Cricetulus griseus: one gene and its partners. The protein of the gene in region 2 purifies or fractionates together with the protein of the main gene of each other region. This does not show direct contact. Links are inferred from orthologs where the notes say so. Each region holds a gene or a part of one and is shown on either strand. Other genes may lie near its edges. The genes, in order: Cdc37, Chek1, Hax1, Cul4a and Cul1.

What was found.
Region 1: the proteins of Chek1 (region 2) and Cdc37 purify together in Homo sapiens (affinity purification with mass spectrometry; 3 studies listed by BioGRID and IntAct, with this or other methods). This does not show direct contact. The link is inferred for Cricetulus griseus from reciprocal best matches to the Homo sapiens genes CHEK1 and CDC37.
Region 3: the proteins of Chek1 (region 2) and Hax1 purify together in Homo sapiens (affinity purification with mass spectrometry; 3 studies listed by BioGRID and IntAct, with this or other methods). This does not show direct contact. The link is inferred for Cricetulus griseus from reciprocal best matches to the Homo sapiens genes CHEK1 and HAX1.
Region 4: the proteins of Chek1 (region 2) and Cul4a purify together in Homo sapiens (affinity purification with western blotting; 4 studies listed by BioGRID). This does not show direct contact. The link is inferred for Cricetulus griseus from reciprocal best matches to the Homo sapiens genes CHEK1 and CUL4A.
Region 5: the proteins of Chek1 (region 2) and Cul1 purify together in Homo sapiens (affinity purification with western blotting; 6 studies listed by BioGRID and IntAct, with this or other methods). This does not show direct contact. The link is inferred for Cricetulus griseus from reciprocal best matches to the Homo sapiens genes CHEK1 and CUL1.

What each region holds. Positions count from the first base shown.
Region 1 is NC_048597.1:133,999,814-134,003,324, reverse strand, and holds part of Cdc37 (hsp90 co-chaperone Cdc37), read left to right. Parts: intron 1-761; coding exon 762-1,040; intron 1,041-1,319; coding exon 1,320-1,575; intron 1,576-1,658; coding exon 1,659-1,774; intron 1,775-1,851; coding exon 1,852-1,974; intron 1,975-2,777; coding exon 2,778-2,960; intron 2,961-3,064; coding exon 3,065-3,136; intron 3,137-3,511. UniProt on the Homo sapiens protein: Co-chaperone that binds to numerous kinases and promotes their interaction with the Hsp90 complex, resulting in stabilization and promotion of their activity. Inhibits HSP90AA1 ATPase activity.
Region 2 is NC_048597.1:148,682,866-148,687,163, forward strand, and holds the start of Chek1 (serine/threonine-protein kinase Chk1), read right to left. Parts: upstream 2,809-4,298; 5' UTR 2,658-2,808; intron 2,447-2,657; exon of another isoform or gene 2,047-2,446; 5' UTR 2,030-2,046; coding exon 1,965-2,029; intron 354-1,964; exon of another isoform or gene 294-353; intron 204-293; coding exon 1-203. UniProt on the Homo sapiens protein: Serine/threonine-protein kinase which is required for checkpoint-mediated cell cycle arrest and activation of DNA repair in response to the presence of DNA damage or unreplicated DNA.
Region 3 is NW_023276806.1:64,555,070-64,559,108, reverse strand, and holds the start of Hax1 (HCLS1-associated protein X-1), read right to left. Parts: upstream 2,803-4,039; 5' UTR 2,663-2,802; coding exon 2,610-2,662; intron 2,064-2,609; coding exon 1,807-2,063; intron 1,655-1,806; coding exon 1,467-1,654; intron 1-1,466. UniProt on the Homo sapiens protein: Recruits the Arp2/3 complex to the cell cortex and regulates reorganization of the cortical actin cytoskeleton via its interaction with KCNC3 and the Arp2/3 complex. Slows down the rate of inactivation of KCNC3 channels. Promotes GNA13-mediated cell migration.
Region 4 is NW_023276807.1:67,672,676-67,676,916, forward strand, and holds the start of Cul4a (cullin-4A), read right to left. Parts: upstream 2,811-4,241; 5' UTR 2,783-2,810; coding exon 2,635-2,782; intron 2,346-2,634; coding exon 2,230-2,345; intron 1-2,229. Other genes in the region: Pcid2 (PCI domain-containing protein 2), read left to right, coding at 3,716-3,751. UniProt on the Homo sapiens protein: Core component of multiple cullin-RING-based E3 ubiquitin-protein ligase complexes which mediate the ubiquitination of target proteins. As a scaffold protein may contribute to catalysis through positioning of the substrate and the ubiquitin-conjugating enzyme.
Region 5 is NW_023276806.1:222,445,041-222,448,551, forward strand, and holds part of Cul1 (cullin-1), read right to left. Parts: intron 2,875-3,511; coding exon 2,824-2,874; intron 2,347-2,823; coding exon 2,256-2,346; intron 1,406-2,255; coding exon 1,242-1,405; intron 1-1,241. UniProt on the Homo sapiens protein: Core component of multiple cullin-RING-based SCF (SKP1-CUL1-F-box protein) E3 ubiquitin-protein ligase complexes, which mediate the ubiquitination of proteins involved in cell cycle progression, signal transduction and transcription.

The DNA of each region.
Region 1 (3,511 bases), about 15 Mb from region 2:
ACAAGGCCACTGCTGCTGAGCTACTCCCCTCACATGGCCAGTTGCTGTTGCTCTACCTTGCTCCTGTCCTGGGGAGGTAGAGGACCAGGGGCCCAGGTTCGTTCTCAGCTACACAGAGAAGCAGTTGCTAGTAAGACGAAAAACTGTAAAAATGTGGCATTGGGGCACCAACAAGTAGCTCGTAGCTATGTGGACTGTAGCAAGGACCCAGGGTTTGTCCAACCAGAGTATGTCTAGTCCTCCATGGTAGGCAGGGTGGAAGTTGGGAGGGCAGGACTTAGACTTTGGTGTACACATCTCTTGGGGTCATGTCCGTTGCAGGGATTGAAACCCCAAGGCTGTGGCTGGGCAGGGATCAAGGAACTAAGTTGTTCTTTTGTTTGTTTGTTTGTTTGTTTTTTGTTGTTTTTGTTTTTCGAGACAGGGTTTCTCTGTGGCTTTAGAGGCTGTCCTGGAACTAACTCTTGTAGACCAGGCTGGTCTCAAACTCACAGAGATCCGCCTGCCTCTGCCTCCCAGTGCTGGGACTAAAGGCGTGCGCCACCACTGCCTGGCTTGTTTCTTTTGTTGTTGTTATTTATTTTGAGATGGGGTTTCTCTGTGTAGCCTAGGCTACCCTGGAACTCTTTGTAGACCAGGTTGGCCTCAAACTCAAAGATCCACCTGCCTGTGCCTCCCAAGTGCTGAGACTAAAGGGGAGTGCCACCATGCCGGGCTCCCAAGGGACCAAGTGACCAGCTGCTGGCTGTCCTTGCCCACAGGCCCGAGTGGAGCGCATGGAGCAGTTTCAGAAGGAGAAGGACGAACTGGACCGGGGCTGCCGTGAATGCAAGCGAAAGGTAGCCGAATGCCAACGCAAGCTGAGGGAGCTGGAAGTGGCTGAAGGCGGTGGCCAGGTGGAGCTTGAGCGGCTGCGAGCTGAGGCACAGCAGCTGCGCAAGGAGGAGCGAAGCTGGGAGCAGAAGCTGGAGGACATGCGCAAGAAGGAGAAGAGCATGCCCTGGAACGTGGACACCCTCAGCAAGGACGGCTTCAGCAAGGTGGGCGCAGGCGGGCGGGAGCACTGCAGAGCAGAGCAGAGCAGAGCACTGCAGGGGTGCGGGTGGGTGAGAGCGCTGCAGAGCAGGGTCAGATGTGGGATGCGCATGCTTTGGTGGTGGAGGCTGGACCTGACGGTGAACTATGAAGGCCCTGGGTCCATACCTGTCTCCTCATTCTGACAAGGAGAGGCCGGCAGAGTTATGGGGGGGACAGGTTGATCGTGGGATTGGCCGGTAGAGACCAATGAAGCCCACCCATACCCTCTGATCTGCCCGAAGGCCCGCGGCCACGCCTCTGCCACCTTGATGCACTTAGCGACGCCTCCGCCTCCGATGTGGACAGGATGGGCGCGGCGGCCAAGGCCCCCGCACCCCAGGCGCAACCCTGCCTTGCCCCAGCCCACTTGCCCTCTCGCCCTGTCACAGAGCATAGTCAATATCAAGCCTGAGAAGGCAGAGGAAGACTCAGAGGAGGCAAGAGAGCAGAAACACAAGACCTTCGTTGAAAAGTACGAGAAACAGATCAAGCATTTCGGTAAGTGCCTGCACGGGGCCTGCAGTTGGGAGTCAAGGCCAGGAAAGGGCTTCCCACAGCCTCTGCAACACCCTTCCCTGCAGGCATGCTCCACCGCTGGGATGACAGCCAGAAGTACCTGTCAGACAATGTCCACCTGGTGTGCGAGGAGACCGCCAACTACCTGGTTATCTGGTGCATTGACCTGGAAGTGGAGGAGGTGAGTATAGCCTGGCCCAGCTTCAGAAAGACTCCCAGACACTGCCTCTCGGTGACACCCCACCTTTGTCCTGGCAGAAATGTGCACTGATGGAGCAGGTAGCTCACCAGACCATGGTGATGCAGTTCATTCTGGAGCTGGCCAAGAGTCTGAAGGTCGATCCCCGTGCCTGCTTCAGGCAGTTCTTCACCAAGATCAAGGTATGGACTCCTGTACCACCAGAAAGCTCACAGTGTACACACAGACTAGGGGCCTGTGGTTAGATCTTTTATTGGGAGGGCGCAGAGTGGTGCGGAGATTACAGTGGCCAAATATGGCCTTATTTATTTCTTTTTAATCTTTAAAATTGTGTGCATGCATGTATGTATGTTATATATGTTTGTATGGTTTGTGTGTATGTGGACTCATGGTCAGGGGACAACTTTGGAATTGATTCTCTCCTTCCACCTTTGTGTGGGCTCTAGTGATCAAACATGCTGTTGGCCTTGCGTGGCAAACACTTCACTCACTGAACCACCTTGCTGACACTATTTAAGATTTTTTTTTAATTTACTTTACATATTTATTTATTGTTGGTGTGTGTGTGCCTGAGTCTGTGTGCAAGCAAGTGTCTCCAGAGGCTAGAAGAGGCTGTTAGATCCCTGGAGCTGGAGCTCCTGGTATATGATCCTCTGAAAGGCCGGGGATCCTGAGAGTGGGGCAGGCAGGAACAATCCAGAACTGAGGTGCCTGTAAGGCCTTGCTGGAAGACACCTGAAGGTGTAGTACCAGGCCTGTGCTGTTTAGCTGGGCCTGGCAGTTGGCCATTAGTAGATGGGCCCACAAGACAGTAGCAAGGGGCACTGAGTACAGAGAGCAAGGCCAAGCCTTGAGGTGCCTGTGGGAAGTTCAGGAAAAGCCTTGGGGAGCCCCAGAAGGCTTCCAAAAGCTGCAGACAGGGACCTTACCACCTAAAGACCTGGGTGTCAACTGCCCAGTGAATAGCGCCCACCGTCTTCTGCAGACCGCCGACCAACAGTACATGGAGGGCTTCAAATACGAACTGGAGGCCTTTAAGGAGCGTGTGCGGGGCCGTGCCAAGCTGCGCATAGAGAAGGCCATGAAGGAGTACGAGGAGGAGGAGCGCAAGAAGAGGCTGGGCCCTGGTGGCCTGGACCCCGTGGAGGTCTATGAGTCCCTGCCTGAGGTGTGACTCCCCAGAGCCCAGGAGGGAGGAGGGTGATCTGTGAATGTTGTCAACCTCCCCACACCCACTAGCCCAGGTCCTCACCCTACCCCTCTGTACCCCAGGAACTGCAGAAGTGCTTTGATGTGAAGGACGTGCAAATGCTGCAAGATGCCATCAGCAAGATGGATCCCACTGTGAGTTCCCATATGTGGCCCTGGTGCCTGTGTCTAGACATGGTCCCCAAGGTTCTGCAACAGACGGGAAGGAATGGCCTCTGGGTGGGCCTGGTGGTGCTAACCTGTCATCTCAAGAGGCTAAGAGCAGTGTGTTGTAAGTTCAAGGCCAAGCTTAGACAGGATGAGTTCAAGATGAGCCAGAGCAGCTCAGTGAAACCCTGTCTCAAAATAGCAATAAGAAGATGGGGTGTAGCTCAGTGGTTGAGTCCTTGCCTGGTATGTGTGGGACTCTGGTTCCATCCCAGCAGCACAAAATAACAAAACAAAACTAGTGTCCCTCTTGGGCTTCTCTAAGAAAGGAGAGGTGTGCCAGGCGGTGGTGGCCCACAGCTT
Region 2 (4,298 bases):
CTCCACTGCAGTACTCCAGAAATAGATACTGGATATTGCCTTCCCTCCTGTGACCATAGAATTTCACTACATTCTCATGATTTAACATCTTATTGATACAGATCTCTTTCTTAATATTTTCTGGACAGTCTATGGCCCGCTTCATGTCTACAATTTTCACTGCAACAGCCTCTTCAGTTATTCTATTCACAGCAAGTTGAACTCTTTAAAGAGAAAGAGAGAGAGTGTATGTTAAAAATTTCCACATCTGAATTCCATTTCTCCTAAAACTTCAAAAGAATAGTGATACATGCCTGTAATTCCAGCATTCTGGAGACAAAGGCAAAAGGGTCCAAGTTCAAGGCCAGACTGCGCTACAAAGAAAGAAACTCTCTAAAACAAACCAAATAAAACAAACAAGCAAACGCAGCCCCACCTCCCACCCACAACTAGCAGGGTGTAGTGGCACATGTCTTTAATCCCAGTACTGGAGAAGCAGAGACAGGCAGAGCTCTTGAAATTTGAGGCAGGCAGCTACACAATGAGACAACTCTCTGCAAACAAAACAGGGAAGGGACAGAAGTGGGGAGCATCTGGCTGGAGAGATGACTCAGTAGTTAAGTGCACTTGCTTCTGACCTGGGTACAGTTCCCAGCACCTACACTGTAGTAGCTCATAACCATCTTTAATCCCAGGTGTGGGGGATCCCACCTTCTGCTGGCCTTGGTCAGTAGTGTACACATGTAGTACACTAATGTGTAGATAAACACTCATACATATAGAAATGCATAAATCTTTTTTTAAAGATTTATTTATTATGTATACAGTGTTCTGCCTGCATGTATGCCTGCAGCTGGAGGAGGGTACCAGATCTCATTACAGATGGTTGTGAGCCACCATATGGTTGCTGGGAATTGAACTCAGGACCTTTGGAAAAACAGGCAGAGCTCTTAACTGCTGAGCCATCTCTCTCCAGCCCTCTAAAAATGCATAAACCTTAAAAAGAAAAAACTTCAAAAGATAAAATATAATACTTCACAAAATATTTTTCCTTCACTATTTTTTTCAAGGAAAATGACATGGTTTCTGCTATGTTCTCAAAAGAAATGAAAGGAAATGTGAAGTATTACAGTTAAAGCTCCAAGAAAGTCATTACCTAGTGCATGCAGGTAGATACTATCAGGTAGGTACTATCAACTCTATCTTCAGACAAGGAAACACAGGCACATAAAGCTTGCTCAAGGACACAAAACACAAACAGGATCTGCAAAGTCTGAGGATCTGCTAAGGTAGGATGCCTCCAGGGACTTTTCATTATCTCATTTAAATTCTAAGACACACGGTTTTATAGGGAAAAAACTAATAGTCTTGTAATTCTTAGGAAAAGAAAATTTTTTAAAAAGCTGGGTTGACTTAAAGCAGGCTTGTAATACCTGTGTAAGCAACAGTGTACCACAAGTTCAAGGCCAACCTGACAATTTAATAAAATGTTCAACTGAACAAACACAAATTAAAGAAATGGGGGGGTGTTGTTGTTTGTTTGTTGTTTTTAAGGCCTAGGGCTGTAGCTCAGTGGTAGAGCATTCACCCAGCATGTGTGACACCCTAGGTTCAATTCCCCAGTATCACAAAATAGGCCAAGTGGGTGAGTATATGTAACTTCACTTGCTAAGAGCCTTGATTTACAAATGCAAATATCCATTCTCTTTGCCACTTGTAATAAAGGATTTTTTTTTATGTCTACTCAAAACTGCAGATGGAAAACTAAAGCAAGCACACTGGCAAGATAAAATTTAAACTAGGGAAGCCATAAAGATAATGGCTAAGCAGGTAAAGCCACTTGCTGATAATCCGAGTTCAATTCTCTGAACTCTCATGGGAACCAACTCCTACAAGTTGTCCTCTGACCTCCACGTGCTCACCGTGACATAACAAACACACACTAATAAATGTAATAAAAAATTTAAATGAGGGCTCAAACTTACTCTCCATAGGCACCTTCTCCCAAAGTTTGCACCAAGTCCCAGTCTTCCACAAATGGTACTGCCATGACTCCAAACACAGCGGCTGTAAAATGCAGGATCCCAGGAAATACGGGGGATGAGTGTGAATTCTCATCACTTGAAATGCCACTGAGCCATGCCTCTTGCCTTGATTCCACACAACTTTGGTTTGCCCTTACATCCCATCCATATTTGCCCAAGTCACAATACTAAATTTAGGCATGTTTGCCCTGTATATCACAACTCCTGTTCAGCCACGTTTGTCCACCGCCTTTATGCACAACTGAACACTAGCTGGGATCGGAGGCTGGGAGACAAAGGCTTCCCGGAGAATGGCCGGGGGGAGGAGTAGCGGGCAGAGAGCGCAGGGGTGGGGGACAGGGGACGTAGGTGTGAGTAACTACCGTAATTACTGACAGCGCAGCCCCTCCTCCCATCCGCTCCCTTTCAATTTCCACCCAACGGCACGTGTCCCCAAGACGCGGAGGGAAGGGGGCGGGGCCGAACTGTGGAGCGAGCGGAAGGCAGGGACCCCAAGAGCCGGAAAGGTGTGCGAACTCTGAAGGCTCACAGACAGCTCTGTTCCCTTTACGCTGAAGAGCCGCGGGCCACCAGCTCCAGCCCGCACGCCGGGAGGCCCTCCCATCTCTCCGGTCGTCACGACCACTCCCTCACCGTGCCCGTCCGCACTAATCAAGACCTCCGAGTCCTTCGCAGGAGTCCTTTCCCACCGTTCGGGACGCTCTTCTCGCCAAGCAGTCCTTTGCCAGCTGCCACAGGACTCCAAATGCAGAACTTTTCCCGCCAAAACTTGCTTGCGTCATGCTGTCGCAAACGCGCGCACCTTTGCCGTAAAGCGGGCCGGCGCGCGTTATTCTATCGTGGGCTCTGCTGAAGAGCAGCTTCAGCAGGCCTAGCCGGAAAGGGCTCCTCCTCCTAGCCCTGGCCTCGGCCGGCTGGAGGTCTCATGCGGCCGTGGTCAGAGACCCGCAGACGAGATTTGGTGCTGACGACAGCCTTGGTGAGAATTGTTCTCAGAGTCCCAGACTGAAGTGGTATCCGGTGTGTGCTCCGCTGGACGCCCTACGTTGTTCCAGAGAGGCGCCGGAGCCTCCAGCCAGACCGAGCGTCACTTGGGCGCAGGTCAAGCACCGGGTTCCTTGCAGCAAGGGCTGCACCGTTAACAATGTAAACCGACCAGCTCGTGACCTCGGAGCCCCTGCTAGGAAGGGTTTGCGAAGCTAAACTGAGCGCCACAAAGTGCTCTGTAAACGCTACTTAGTATTCGAGCTTAGAAGCTAGCAACTGTTCTTGGAATTGATCCTTAAAAAAAAAAAAAAATGAAGGAAAGCCAGGTGTGGTGGTGTGTGCCTGTAATCGTATTAGTATGCAAGAAAATAGCGTGTTTGCCGGGCGGTGATGGCGCAGGCCGTTAATGTCAGCACTCGGGAGGCAGAGGCCGGATCTCCGTGAATTCGAGGACAGCCAGGGCTACACAGAGAAACCCTGACTCGAAAAAAAAAAAAAAAGAAAGAAAGAAAATAGCGAGTTCTCAAGGCCAGCCCCGGTTATGCAAAGAAACAAAAAATAGTTTTTAAAAGGACCACACAGCCTCGGGTACGAGGGGGCAGGACGAAGACAGTATTTGGAGTTTACAATCCAGTCAGGATCACCAATTTTGCCTGCACAGGCTCCAAAACTAATTCAGTCTCACCCGTTTGTAGGAAGACCATTTGCCTAGCTTAGTTTTACTAGCTTTCTAGTTCTTAAAAGAGCATGAGGGCCCACACCTCTAAATGCCACACTCCAGAGCTGAGGCACAGCCAGATGCTCCTTCAAACAGCAAGGTAGACATGGTGGTGATTTGCCTGCAGCCAAGGCCTGCTTCAGGTTCATCATCCTGAGACAAAAAGTATGACTCTGTCTGTCTTTAAAAGGAGGTGGGTAGAGTAGCACAATAAATATTTGAGTAACTGGGCTAGGCATGTGGCATAATGGTAGAGTACTTGCCAAGCATGCAGAAGGCCCAGTGAGAAATGTCAATTCTCAAGGAAAAGACTTGGGTACAAACTGAAACTTTGTGCTGGCTTTGCCACGAGCTACATCTCTCTCTCTACAAAAATCTGTCAAAAGTGAAGGGTGAAACACCTGCAAATATTTATATATGAAAAGCATAAACCATGACATTAGTTATAGGAATGATGTAATGAAAACAAGTTTATAGATCATTTCCCATTCCTTTGTAATTTCCTGTCTGTGTTTTGAAATAAAAGAATATAAAGAAGACCCAGGAAGTTCCTATATTCATGAATGGAA
Region 3 (4,039 bases), on a different chromosome or scaffold from region 2:
CCTGCATCTTCAAGACTGTTTTTTTTTTTCAAGACAGGGTTTCTTATCCTAGAACTCATTCTATAGACTAGGCTGGCCTCAAACTGACAGAAACTTGCCTGCCTCTACTTCCCTAGTGCTAGGATCAAAGGTGTGCACCACCTTGCCCTGCTCAAGATGCCCCCCCCCCACCTTGGTGTGTGTGTGTGTGTGTGTGTGTGTGTGTGTGTTCGTTCCAGGCAGGGTTTTTTTGTCTAGACAGGTTGGCCTTGAACTCAAGGAAATAAGTTTGCTTCTGCCTCAGGAGTGCTGGGATTAAAAGTGGGCAACACCATGCCCAGCCTCAAGACTACCCCTACCTTGAGACAAGGTTTCTCTGTGTAGCTTTGTAGACCAGGCTGGCCTGGGCTCACAGAGATTCGCCTGCCTCGGCCTCCCAAGTGCTGGGATTAAAGGCGTGTGCCACCACAGCCCAGCTCTCAAGACCCTTTCTTAATCAAGAATTGTAACTAGCAATTAAAAAAAGCAGAATATTTACATTTCCCTTTTGTATTCTATGCTCCTGTATTGCAAATGGAAAACAGAAACAAAGGGGCTAGAAAGACGGCCCATAGATTAAGAACACTTGCTTTTTCTGGGGATATCAAGCAGCTCAGAGCTCCACAGGATTCAACAATACCTCAACACTGCAGGCACTCATATGGTACACAAAAAACTCAGACACACATACGCAAAATAAATAATTTTTTGTTTTGTTTTGTTTTTTGAGACAGGGTTTCTCTGTGTAGCTTTGGAGCCTATCCTGGAACTTGCTCTATAGACCAGGCTGGCCTCGAACTCACAGAGATCTGCCTACCTCTGCCTCCCGAGTGCTGGGAATAAAGACATGCACCACCAACGCCCGGCTAAAATAAATAAATCTTAAGAACAACAAACAGCAACAAAAAACCAAACAAAGAAACTCAGGGCCAAGGGAGGCCAGCATGGTCTACATAGCAAGTTCCAGGACAGCTAAGGCCACAGAGAGATCTTGTCTCAAAATACATATATAAATAAAATAAAAAGAGAGGGCAGGGGGCACTATTGCAGAAAACCATAGTGTATAGATCCCAGCATGGTGGTTCTCAATCATTATAATTGGAGTTCCCGGGTATTCGATGCCCTCTCCTGACCTCTATGAGTACCAGGCACATGTGGAGCAAAAACATGCTCCACATGCACTGAAAAAAACAGTCCTACATAAGAAAAAATAAATAAACCTTAGGCTAGGTGTGCTGGCACATTTTAATCCTGATGCAGAGACAGGCAGATCTCTAAACCTGAGGCCAGTCTGGTCTACACAGTGAATCCCAAGTCTCAAAACAAAAAGCCCAACAAAGAAGAAAATCCAGACAAATGCACTAATTAGAGGGGCTAGAATTCTAACTCAACTCTAAGAAATTCCAGTAAGAGTTGTAGTTACTGCACTTCAGGTGCAGAGTACTCACCCTATGAAAAGGTCCCTGAGACCCCCAATCTGGAGCTGGTTTGGGGGATTCAGGTCTTGGATGACTCTCCATGACCCCCTCAAAGATCCTGGGTTGGTGACTGTCTGGGTACTTAAGCATTGAGTCCCGAAGCGTCTGCCCTTCCCGCGGTCTCTCACCAGGTGTTTCTGACCCATGACCTGGAAGTTCTGTAAAAAAGTTGGCTGGTGATACTAGGATAGGAAAGGGCTTAAAACACACAAAATCTTTTTGAAATCAGCTTTAGCATATCCCCAACTACTCTGCAAGGTCCGTATTTCGCTCCCTAACCCAATATTCTCCCTCAGGAGAATCTACACACCAGGAGAGTGGGAAGGCAAGGTCCAGGCCCCCATCTCACTGAAGATGCTATTGAAATCTCGTACTAGATCATCAAAGCCAAAGTTGTCGTGGAATCGCATGCCTTCTTCTGGGCTGAAGTTGAAACCGAATTCCTCCGGAGGCTGAGAACCATCAAACCTATAGCTCCCTCGACCCCACGTGCCTCTGTCTTCTTCCTCTTCGTCATCATCATCGTCATCATCTCGAGTCATCCCTCCGAAGAAGGGATCTCTGTGGCTGAGAGCAGAGGCAGATAAGCCACGAAGATTTCAGCACTGTCTAAGCAATAAAACCAACCCAAGGCCAGTAAAATGGGGACAAAAGGTTGGGGTCTAGGTAGCTGAAGAAAACACTGGAGAGCTCCCTTCCAAGTCAAAACAAAGCTCGTGGATCTATTAGGGTTTTGTATTGTCTCTAATTAGAGCCCATGACAACCCCCGCCCCCCACACCTCGCAAACGCCTCCCGTGGCTTGTCTTCAGTGTCTGACTGCGCACTCCTAATTGCCCCTTAAGGTCCCTCTCACTTGCTCATTCCCCAGGCCCCCATTGTCTTCTCCGCCCAGCTCCCTGTTGCATCACCCCACTCTGGAGAAAGGCACTGTTTCTCTCCTCTTCACACCGCTTTGGTTACTGTGGCGTGGTGAGTACTCAAGGTTGAGATTTCTATCCTCTCAGCAGGAGTTGAAGGGAGCGGGGAAGGAAGCTTTCCAAAAATACGGTGAAGGGGTCAAGCGTCCCCAAAGAACACCGCTTCCTCAGGTCCAGCCCAGAACTACGCTCACCTCCGAGGTCCACGAAAGCCGAAAAAGCCCCGGAAAAGGTCAAAGAAGCTCATTCCTGTAGGTGCCCTAGAAACTTTAAACTTCGGCAGGACATGAGAACCACTCGACTGCCAGCTTGCGCTACCCTGTCAGATACAGCCAGGGTTCAGCATTCGCTGCCGGAAAGCAAGTCTGCAACACGGCATTGTCGTAAAAAGGCCGAAACCCGGAGAAGGAAGAGGCGGGGCTGACGGCGCTCCTCCGACGCGAAGCTTCTTATACGCTACCTTTCAGTTTTGAGTGAGGGTGGGCTTACGGATCCCCGCTGTCCAAGATCACACCCCTTCTAGTGATTCTCTTTCCCGCCCATCTGCCAGTCCCCAAGGGGTGTTTCCGTTACTCTCTGGATGGTTCCAAGTTAGCCGCCAAAGGGAGCGGCCTGTCCCGAGCCCCGCCTGGACCCCGGCTCAGAAAACACCCCCACTTTGTTTGTTTCTAGACTGATGTGACGTCCAACACTACAGGTTGGGAAATGTTTTACTAAGCTCCTTCCAGGGCAATTTCCCTACTGCTGGATAAAGACATGAGGATGCTAGGAATCTCTTCAGCTACTAAGGAGTTAGTTCGGGCCATAAAAATTTATTTTAAACGTGTTTATTCGACACACGGTTTCTCTGCTGTCCTGGAACTCTATAGACTAGGCCTGCCTCGAACTCAAGAGATCCACCTGACTCTGCCTCCCAAATGCTGGGATTATAGGCCGTTGCTACCATGCCTAGCTACTCTTTTAAACTTTTAAAAAAACAGACTACAACCAACAAGGTAAGATTTATACTAGGCAGGGAAGAGTAACTACTGAAGCATCTTGGAAAAGAACAAAGACTCTATAGTTAGAATCAGTGGTGCAGGCTCAAGAGGCAGAGACCGGTGGATCTCAGTATGAAGCCAACCTGGTCTACACAACGAGTTCAATGCCAGCCTGAGCTACATGAGACCTGGACACACCCTCACTTCCCAAGCCATACTTGCAGTTTGGGAAGTCTGAAGCCGAACGAATCTCTTGAATCCTTGGCAATACGGTAAGTCTCAGGCTCTTCTAAAGAAAATAAAACTCCCCTTCCCATGTAATTGAGGTTCAAAACTTTTTACCACAATGCCCCACCACAGGTCTTGCTCTACATCATCCAACCCTTTCCCAGAAATTGGGCATTTCTAAGGCCACATAAAATAGGCAAAGCAGGGTATGGTGTTTGTTGAGAATCTTTAACCTCATCACCTAATAGGCAGAGGCAGGCAGACCTCTGAATTTGAGATCAGCTTGGTCTCCATACCAAGTTACAGGCCAGCCAGGGTCACACAATAAGACTGTCTCAAAAACAAAACTCAAGGAACAAAAACTACTGCAGTCTACTTCTATAAAGGGAAAGCCGCTTGAGCTTTAGTTCTGCCAG
Region 4 (4,241 bases), on a different chromosome or scaffold from region 2:
ACCATGTGTAAACTGCAAAGCACTATTCCAAATAAAAGCCAGATAACAAGAGATGGCAAATGCAAGATTCCTTTTAGATAGAAATGGCAGAGTAACCCAGAGCAGAGTACTGGCTGCCAAGGGAGGAGATGGGGAAGGGATGGCTGCAAGGAGCTGTAGTTCTTTGTCAGGGATGGAAAAAGTCTACATTTTCAGGGGCGGGGGTGGCAAAACAACTGCATATTAGGCCATTAACATTTACTGGAACAAGCATGTTAGTGTAAGCCTGTAACCCCACAGGAAGATTACCTTGAGTTTGGGCAGCCTGGGCTACACAGTGAAACTCTTAAAAAATAAAGCCAGTCAATTCCCCTTACCCCGCTCCCCCCCCAAAAAAAAAACCTACTGGAGCACAAGTTATATGTAAATTACACTTCAAAAAAGCTGATTAAAAAATTATCGGGGCATGGTGGCACATTCAACCATGTGGAAAGCTGAGGCAGGAGGACTGCTGTAAGTTATACATAGGCTGGAATACATAGCAAGTAACTAAGTCAGCCAGCACTGTGTAGCAAGACTCTCACTCAAAGACAAAGTGAGTGGGGTAGAGGTCTGGAGAGATGGCTCAGTGGTTTAGAGTACATGAGGACCTGGGATTGGTTCCCAGTACCTATTTCAAGAGGCTCACAACCACTTACACCCAGGCTCTAGAGGTATCTAATACTTCTGGCCTCCAGGCCTGCCCCCAAACTTCATACCCACATACTTAAAATAATAAAAGTACATTGTCAGGCAGGTGAAGCCCTAATCCCAAAGCTCAGGAGCAAAGGCAGGTGGATCTCTGAGAGTTCAAGGCCACCTGATCTACATAGTGAATTCCAGACCAGCCAGGGCTATACAGTGAGACCCTGTCTAAACAAAATAAAAACCTTAAAAAAACCTTCACCCTCAATACACAATCAACTCACAAACTTAAGACAAAGAACGGACACATGTACCTCACTCTATCACTACAGGTTGGTCGCCCCTCACCCAAAATGCTTGGGACCAGCAGTGTTTTGGATTACAGATTTTTTTTTTCTCCTGGATTTGATACTTGAATATGCATAATGATTTATTTGGGGGAATGAGACTCAGGTCTAAACACAAAATTAATTCATATCTCATATACCCTGAACACAATTTGAAGGTCTGTTTTTATTTTTTTATTTTTACCATTGTGTGTGTGCATGATGCGTTATGTGTGGGTGCTTGTGCCACGGCTTGACTGGAGGCCAAAGGACATCCTCTCTGCAGTCAGTTTTCTTCTACCTTTCTGAGGGTTCTGAGGTTCGACCACTGGTTGCCAAGCTTGTTCGGCAAGAGCTTTACCCACTGAGTCATCTCACTGGCCCTAGCTTGAAGTAATTTTATACAACAGTTTTAGCATACATTGTGTTCTGTCTGAGTCCAGTCAGACGAGGTCAGCCGTGGATCTTTTTTCATGTGAGTGCTAAAAGTTTTGGATTGGGGAAGTTTTGGATCAGGAGTGCTCAACCTGTAACAATTTCCCTTGGGTACTACTGCTTACTTTTCTTTTTGTACTTTCTATAACTTACATAAATTCATTTTGTAACCAGGATAAAACAAACCGGTAAGTTCATGACTTTAGTGTAATTAATTATATATATGCTATATCATTACCTAAAACAGACTATTTAGTGAACATTACTGTATAAAACCACGACAGAAAAGTCTGCCTGAAAAAACAAGATGTACTTTTGGCCTTTTTTTTTTTTTCCTGCTGTAGACACTATCTTTAAATTAAAACTACCAGAATCTGCAAACCTTATTTGCAACAATTAAACCACAGTGTGTGTGGGGGGGGGAGAGACGACGACGACGACGACGACACAAGGATCCTCCTAGCATACTGAGTTTTATGTGTAACAATCTAACGTTCTGATAACACTGGAGATCACTGGAGCCCTGTGGCTCGCAGCCCCCACACCTCCTTTCTCCTGGGGATGGGAAAACTTACACCTAAGCAGCCCGATGTAAGCCTCAACATAGCACTCATCCAGGGCGACCATATACTGAAACACCTGCTGACCGAGGGCTTCGAGGCTTCCTCTAGGGAAGGCTCGGACCGCAGCCTCTCCCCCCATTCCCCCTCCCCCCCGGCAGGCGGGCCTCCCTAGCATCGGCGGCGACCGTGGCTGTGAGAGGAGGAAAACAGCCAGGTGCTCGCAGGCCCTCGCCGCCGCTCACCTGGTACAGCTCCTCCAGGTTGTACCTGATGGATGTGCTGCTCTGGATGGCCTTGACCGCTTCGTGAAGCTTCCGCCACGTGTCCTGAGTGTAGTTGTCAGGCAGCCGCGGCCTGTCTGTGGGGAGAGAGGGTCAACGGCCGCGCGGGGACAAGACAGGCCGGGGCACCGAGGCAGGGCCCAGCAGAGCCAGCCAGGAGGTGCGGGGTCAGGGCCAGCTGGGGCGCGGGGACGTGGCGGAGCATGAGGTGCGGGGACAAGTCAGGCTGGAGCGCCGGAACAGGACAGTGCGGGAACAAGGCGGGCTGGGGCGCGGGGACAGGGCCGGCTGGGCAGCCCCAGGAGGCCCTGTCCGAGCGCGCGACCTGACGGACGCCCCGTTCGCTCCTCACCGGAGCGCACCCACCTCGGAAGTTCTTGATGACCAGCTTCCTGGAGCCGCCCGCGCCCCCCGGCTTGGCAGGGCCACCGGCCAACGCCGCGGGCTTGGTGAGGCCGTTGGTGCGGCCCATGAGAGCCGAGACGCTGCCCTTCCGCGGGCCCTCGTCCGCCATGGCTGGGCCGGACGCCGCCCCGCCCCGCGCCGCCCGGCTCCTCCTCCTGCCCTGCGCCCGGTCCGTGCGCGCCCGGCTCCTCCTCCTCCTGTCGGGCTCCGCCCGTGAGCGCTCGGCTCCTCCTCCTGCTGCTCGCGGCCCGGTCCGCGCGCCCGAGGCCCAACCGCCGCGGCGCGCACCGGAATGATCCGGCTCGGGCGCGCGGACTCCGCCCAGTGAGGGCTCCGGCGTACGCGGCCGCGCCTGGAGGGTTCGGCACCCGCGGACGTTCTACGACGAATGCTCGCGAGAGGGCGCCGTGACACCCCGCACCGAGCGTTCCGGGAGCTTGGTGTTCGACGTCACGACGAGGGCTGGGGACACCCGGGAGACGTGGGCGAACAGGAGCACCCCACCACCCTGCCTCTGGGGCAGCCCCACACCTAGGGCTCAGGGATGCTCCGTGACAACCGGATACTCCACACCCGTTGCTCTGGGATGCCCCAGTGAGGGGGTGGGAGGACTCGGGGACATCTCCAGCGAGGGCTAGGAGAGCACGGGGACGTGTTCCCAAGTGGGGTTGACTTTTGTTCTGTGCACTTGAGGGTGTGCGAGCCGGGAGCGTCTCTGCAAAGTGAGGATCGAAGGGATGAGAGACACGGGGAGTCGCTAGGACACAGGACGTGATCGGGACGCGGGGATACGTTCCCAAGTCGGTTGGAACTCCTCCACGTCAGTCCCCCGTCCTTTGCTCACGCCCCCGCCCGAGCTGAGACACCTCAGTGACTGCACCCCGAGCACTGACAGCTCTAGGAGGGGAGTGCTCGGGCCAGCTTCGTTCAGTTTGCGCCACCGGTTCCGGAATCAAAAACGTGCGGGAAATACAGTGTAGGGACAAGGAGCTGAGACGGACCTGCGCCGGAAGTGAGGTGCTTAACGCCCGCGGCCGCTGCTATGGCGCACATCACCATTAACCAGTACCTACAGCAGGTGGGTTGCCCGGTATCCTTGTTTAGTGGCCACGAGGGTGGGTTCTGGGGCTGGGTCAGATAGGTCCGGGACCGGTGGAGGGGGGAGGTCTGCGGCTGCCTTTGAGGTGAAGAACGTTTGCTGCATGGGGCGGGCAGCAGGCTTTGCTCAAAAGTTGCAAGTGCTTCCCGCCGGATCTGGGACGGAGGAGGATTCGAGGTGGAGGTAGCAGAATCGAGGCCACTTGTAAAAGCGGCTGTTCGTGTAGCACTGTCTGCACCGAAGCACACTGGGTCTTAAGAGAGGTGTCCCTCTGCTCAAGGCCCGCGAATGGCACAGGCAAGCAGCGTTGCATCTGGGTTGAGGGTTGAGTTTGCGTTTTCTCCGCTAACCTAGGACGAGAGAGGTATGAATCCCACTATTCAGCACACCTGGTGCAAGGGACAGCCAGGTGGGAAAGTCTGATGGACGTTTTAACGGATGACATTGCTGCTCATGGATGTTTATGAAT
Region 5 (3,511 bases), on a different chromosome or scaffold from region 2:
GGAAACAGGTCTTTGCAGTAAGAGACCTGTTTACAAAAGCTACTCTGTCACACTAAAAAATTAAATAATGGGCAATACCACAATTCAAAACAGGTTATATTTCAAATACTCTTAAGGAGCAAGGAGCTGACCAGGTTTCAGTCACATACTAGATACAAAGAACTGCTACCATTCCACATAAACAACTAACTAGTCCCACTTTAGTTGGGTTTTGAGATATCAGAAATGTGTAATTGGGTTTCAATTTCAGCTTAGAAGGCCCACTTACATGTGCAATGTAAGTGTACCGTATGAAAATGCACTTTGAACACCACAAGCTGGGCATGACTTTTTCTGTAAGTCAGAAGCAGGGTGGTTGGTCTTATGTATTCTTTCTTTGAACCACGGAAGCAATGACTGTACAGTCCATTTCCTGCCCAAGAGAGGGCAAAGCAGGTACTAGACTTGGTCTGAACCAGACTCTTGAAAATCTAGTACATTCAGGAGAGAAGTCACTCTACAGTTGATTGGCAAAATCCTGACACATATTTCTTGTTTATTTACACATTGCCGACTGTTGTGTTATAACAGCAAAGTTGAACAGTGGTGGAAGAGATCATACATAGCACGCAAAGCCTTAAGATATTTACTGCCTGGCAGTATATAACAGAAAGCTTAAAGACTCCTGACATTCCTCAGCCCCTTCATCCAGAATACCTGAATTTTCAAGAAAGAGCAAAGAAAATTCCTATTAGAAGTTCATGGAAGCATCATGTAGTAAAATAATGCTTATAGAATACGATACATAGCTCTTCTCCCAAGTCAGAATTTAGATCCTCCTTCCTAATGTAATCTTAAAGACTAAGCTATAAACTCCTAGGAAATATTTAAGAAAAAAGTAGCAAAAACAAACAAATGAAATAGCTAACAAATCTTGGAATATCTGCTCAATACTATCTCACTGACAAAACTGTGGGGCCCACTAGTCGTCACACTCAAGGGGAGATGGTTCAAAACATGAAGAAGGCATGCAGTTATCAAGGCACCTCCTTAGCTATGCAAAAGGAATGAACACTCACTCATGATTATTATCAATTTGTGAAAGTCCCTTACAGAGTGACAGGAGCTGGATCCATGGGACATAGTGTGACATCAGTGCCAAGCCTGACTTGTGAGGAACACTGCATTGCCAAGAACTCACTAGAGAAGCAATGACTATTTAACTTACATCTACTTTACATACTATGTATGTTTAAGCTTACCTTTTTCATATATTCAGTAACTGGGTTCTGCTGCAAGAATTCAGTACTTTCTCTGGTATAAAATCTCTCTGTGTCAGCCAAAAATTGAGATTCAAAGGATTCTTTATACACTGTTAACGTAGGGCCCTTTGCAAATGCGTCATCTTCATTCAGCCCCAATTCCACTAGAAAGAAATATGAACTATATTTACCCTACTTTTTGTAATATTTCACAGATAATACTTTGGTGTAACATTCAGTTTAAGTTACACTTGAAAGATCAATGTATAATGGAGGGTTTTAAGGTTAACTGTTATTCACTAGTATTGAAATATTCTTATTTTAATAAAAGAGAAATAAAACAATAAACTCCAAGATATATAGGAGTAGATCACCTCTACCTGGGCCAGGGATACTTCACAATTATCACAAGTTCAGTCAGAGAAAGTCTACATTTCCAAAAGTGATCTAAATGTTGTACTGTAAATTTTCACAGAAACACAAACCTACCTGAGCTTGAACAACACATCAGTTAATCAGGGTCTCAATCTTAATTTTTTTTTTTAGATTTTATTTATTTATTATGTATATAACATTCTGTTTCCATGTATATCTGCACACTAGAAGAAGGCACCAGATCTCACAATGGATGGTTGTGAGCCACCATATAGTTGCTGGGAATTGAACTCAGGACCTCTGGAAGAGCAGTCAGTGCTCTTAACCTCTGAGCCATCTCTCCAGCCCCTCAATCTTAATTTTTTAAGCTGATAGGTTTCTGGTTATCATTTAAGTCAAAAACAGTCACATTATATATAAATATTTCCTCATGAAAGCAGCAAAGGAAATAGTTCATTTTTTTTCCAATCAAAATTTCCTTAAAGTACAAAGATTAAATAACTTATGATTTATAAAAGTACTGCTTAAAAGTACCTTAAAAATGGAATAATATTTGTGATATTTAAATGTTTTTAAATGAATGCCAGAATTATCATGATTGCCATGTGATATGAAAACCAAATAAAGACAATTATTTACCATAAGATTGTACAACTCCACTAATCAGTCTTGTGTTGATGGTTTCGCCATTTCTTTCCTTTTCAATCAGTTTTAAAACAGCATTTGTTACCTTTAAGAATACAGAAAAAATATTAGGTAGAAATGTTACAGGTCATATCCTTTAAACATTTAAAGCCATGTTTTAGGGGTATGGGTAAGTACATATATGTACATGTGTGTGGAGGTAGACCAGTGGACAATCTCAAGTATGGCTCCCCGGGAATCATCACCTTGTCTTTTTGAGATGGAGTTTCTCACTGCCATGGAGCTCATTCAGAAGGCTAGGGTGGCACTGGCAGGGAGCCCCAGGGATCTGCTTGACTCTACTCTCCAGTGCCAGGATCACTAGTGGGCATCAACACACCTGCTTTCTTCCATGGGTGCTGGGAATCTACCCCAGGCCCTCATGCTTACATGGCAAGCACTTTACCAACAAAGCCAGGTCCCCAGACCAACAAATACTCTTGAGATAGTTCAAAGGCTTGGGAAGACAACATAGAAATGGGAAATTTTTTTAAAAGGAAAAAAACACATCCATAATAGATACCTGTTTATTCAATGGCCTGAATAAACAATCTCTCCATGTCACCAATGCAAGCTGGATGGAAAAGGGGGAAAGATGCATTAAATAACTGTATTTCACTATGGTTCTCCAAAACCAGTCAGACAATAATTTGAATTCTTAGTTTTACCAAAATTCCTAGATTACAACTCAGTATAAAAAAAACAAAAAAACAAAAAACTTGTATTACAATGAAATCAGCAACCTCTCAAGTGAGTCACTTTGTACAGATGTTTACGAGCTCACATTTTGACAGTGAAGTTCAAAAAGAACATTCTGCTTTAAGGTGAGCACTTCTATCAGCTTAAAAGCCATTAGTAGATTCAACCTATCAATGTATTCCCTGAATCCAACAATTTTAGACCAGATACACCTAATAAAGGTAATTCCAGTCACTACCCAAGTTTCCTAACACATCAAGATAAAAAGAATATAAAAATCTTCTAACTTTGTATCTGGATTATGTATTTTAAGTGCAGTTTCTTGTACATAACTTATTAAAATCTTCTATTGTACTTTTGTCTTCACGTGACTATGTGTGAGACATATATTGTTGTGTGAGCATGTCACATGCTCACATTGTGCCTGAGGATGTACATACATGGATGGAGTCATCTGTCTCCACAGCCCCGATATATGCATTTTAACGTGAATGTATAAACACCACGGCCCA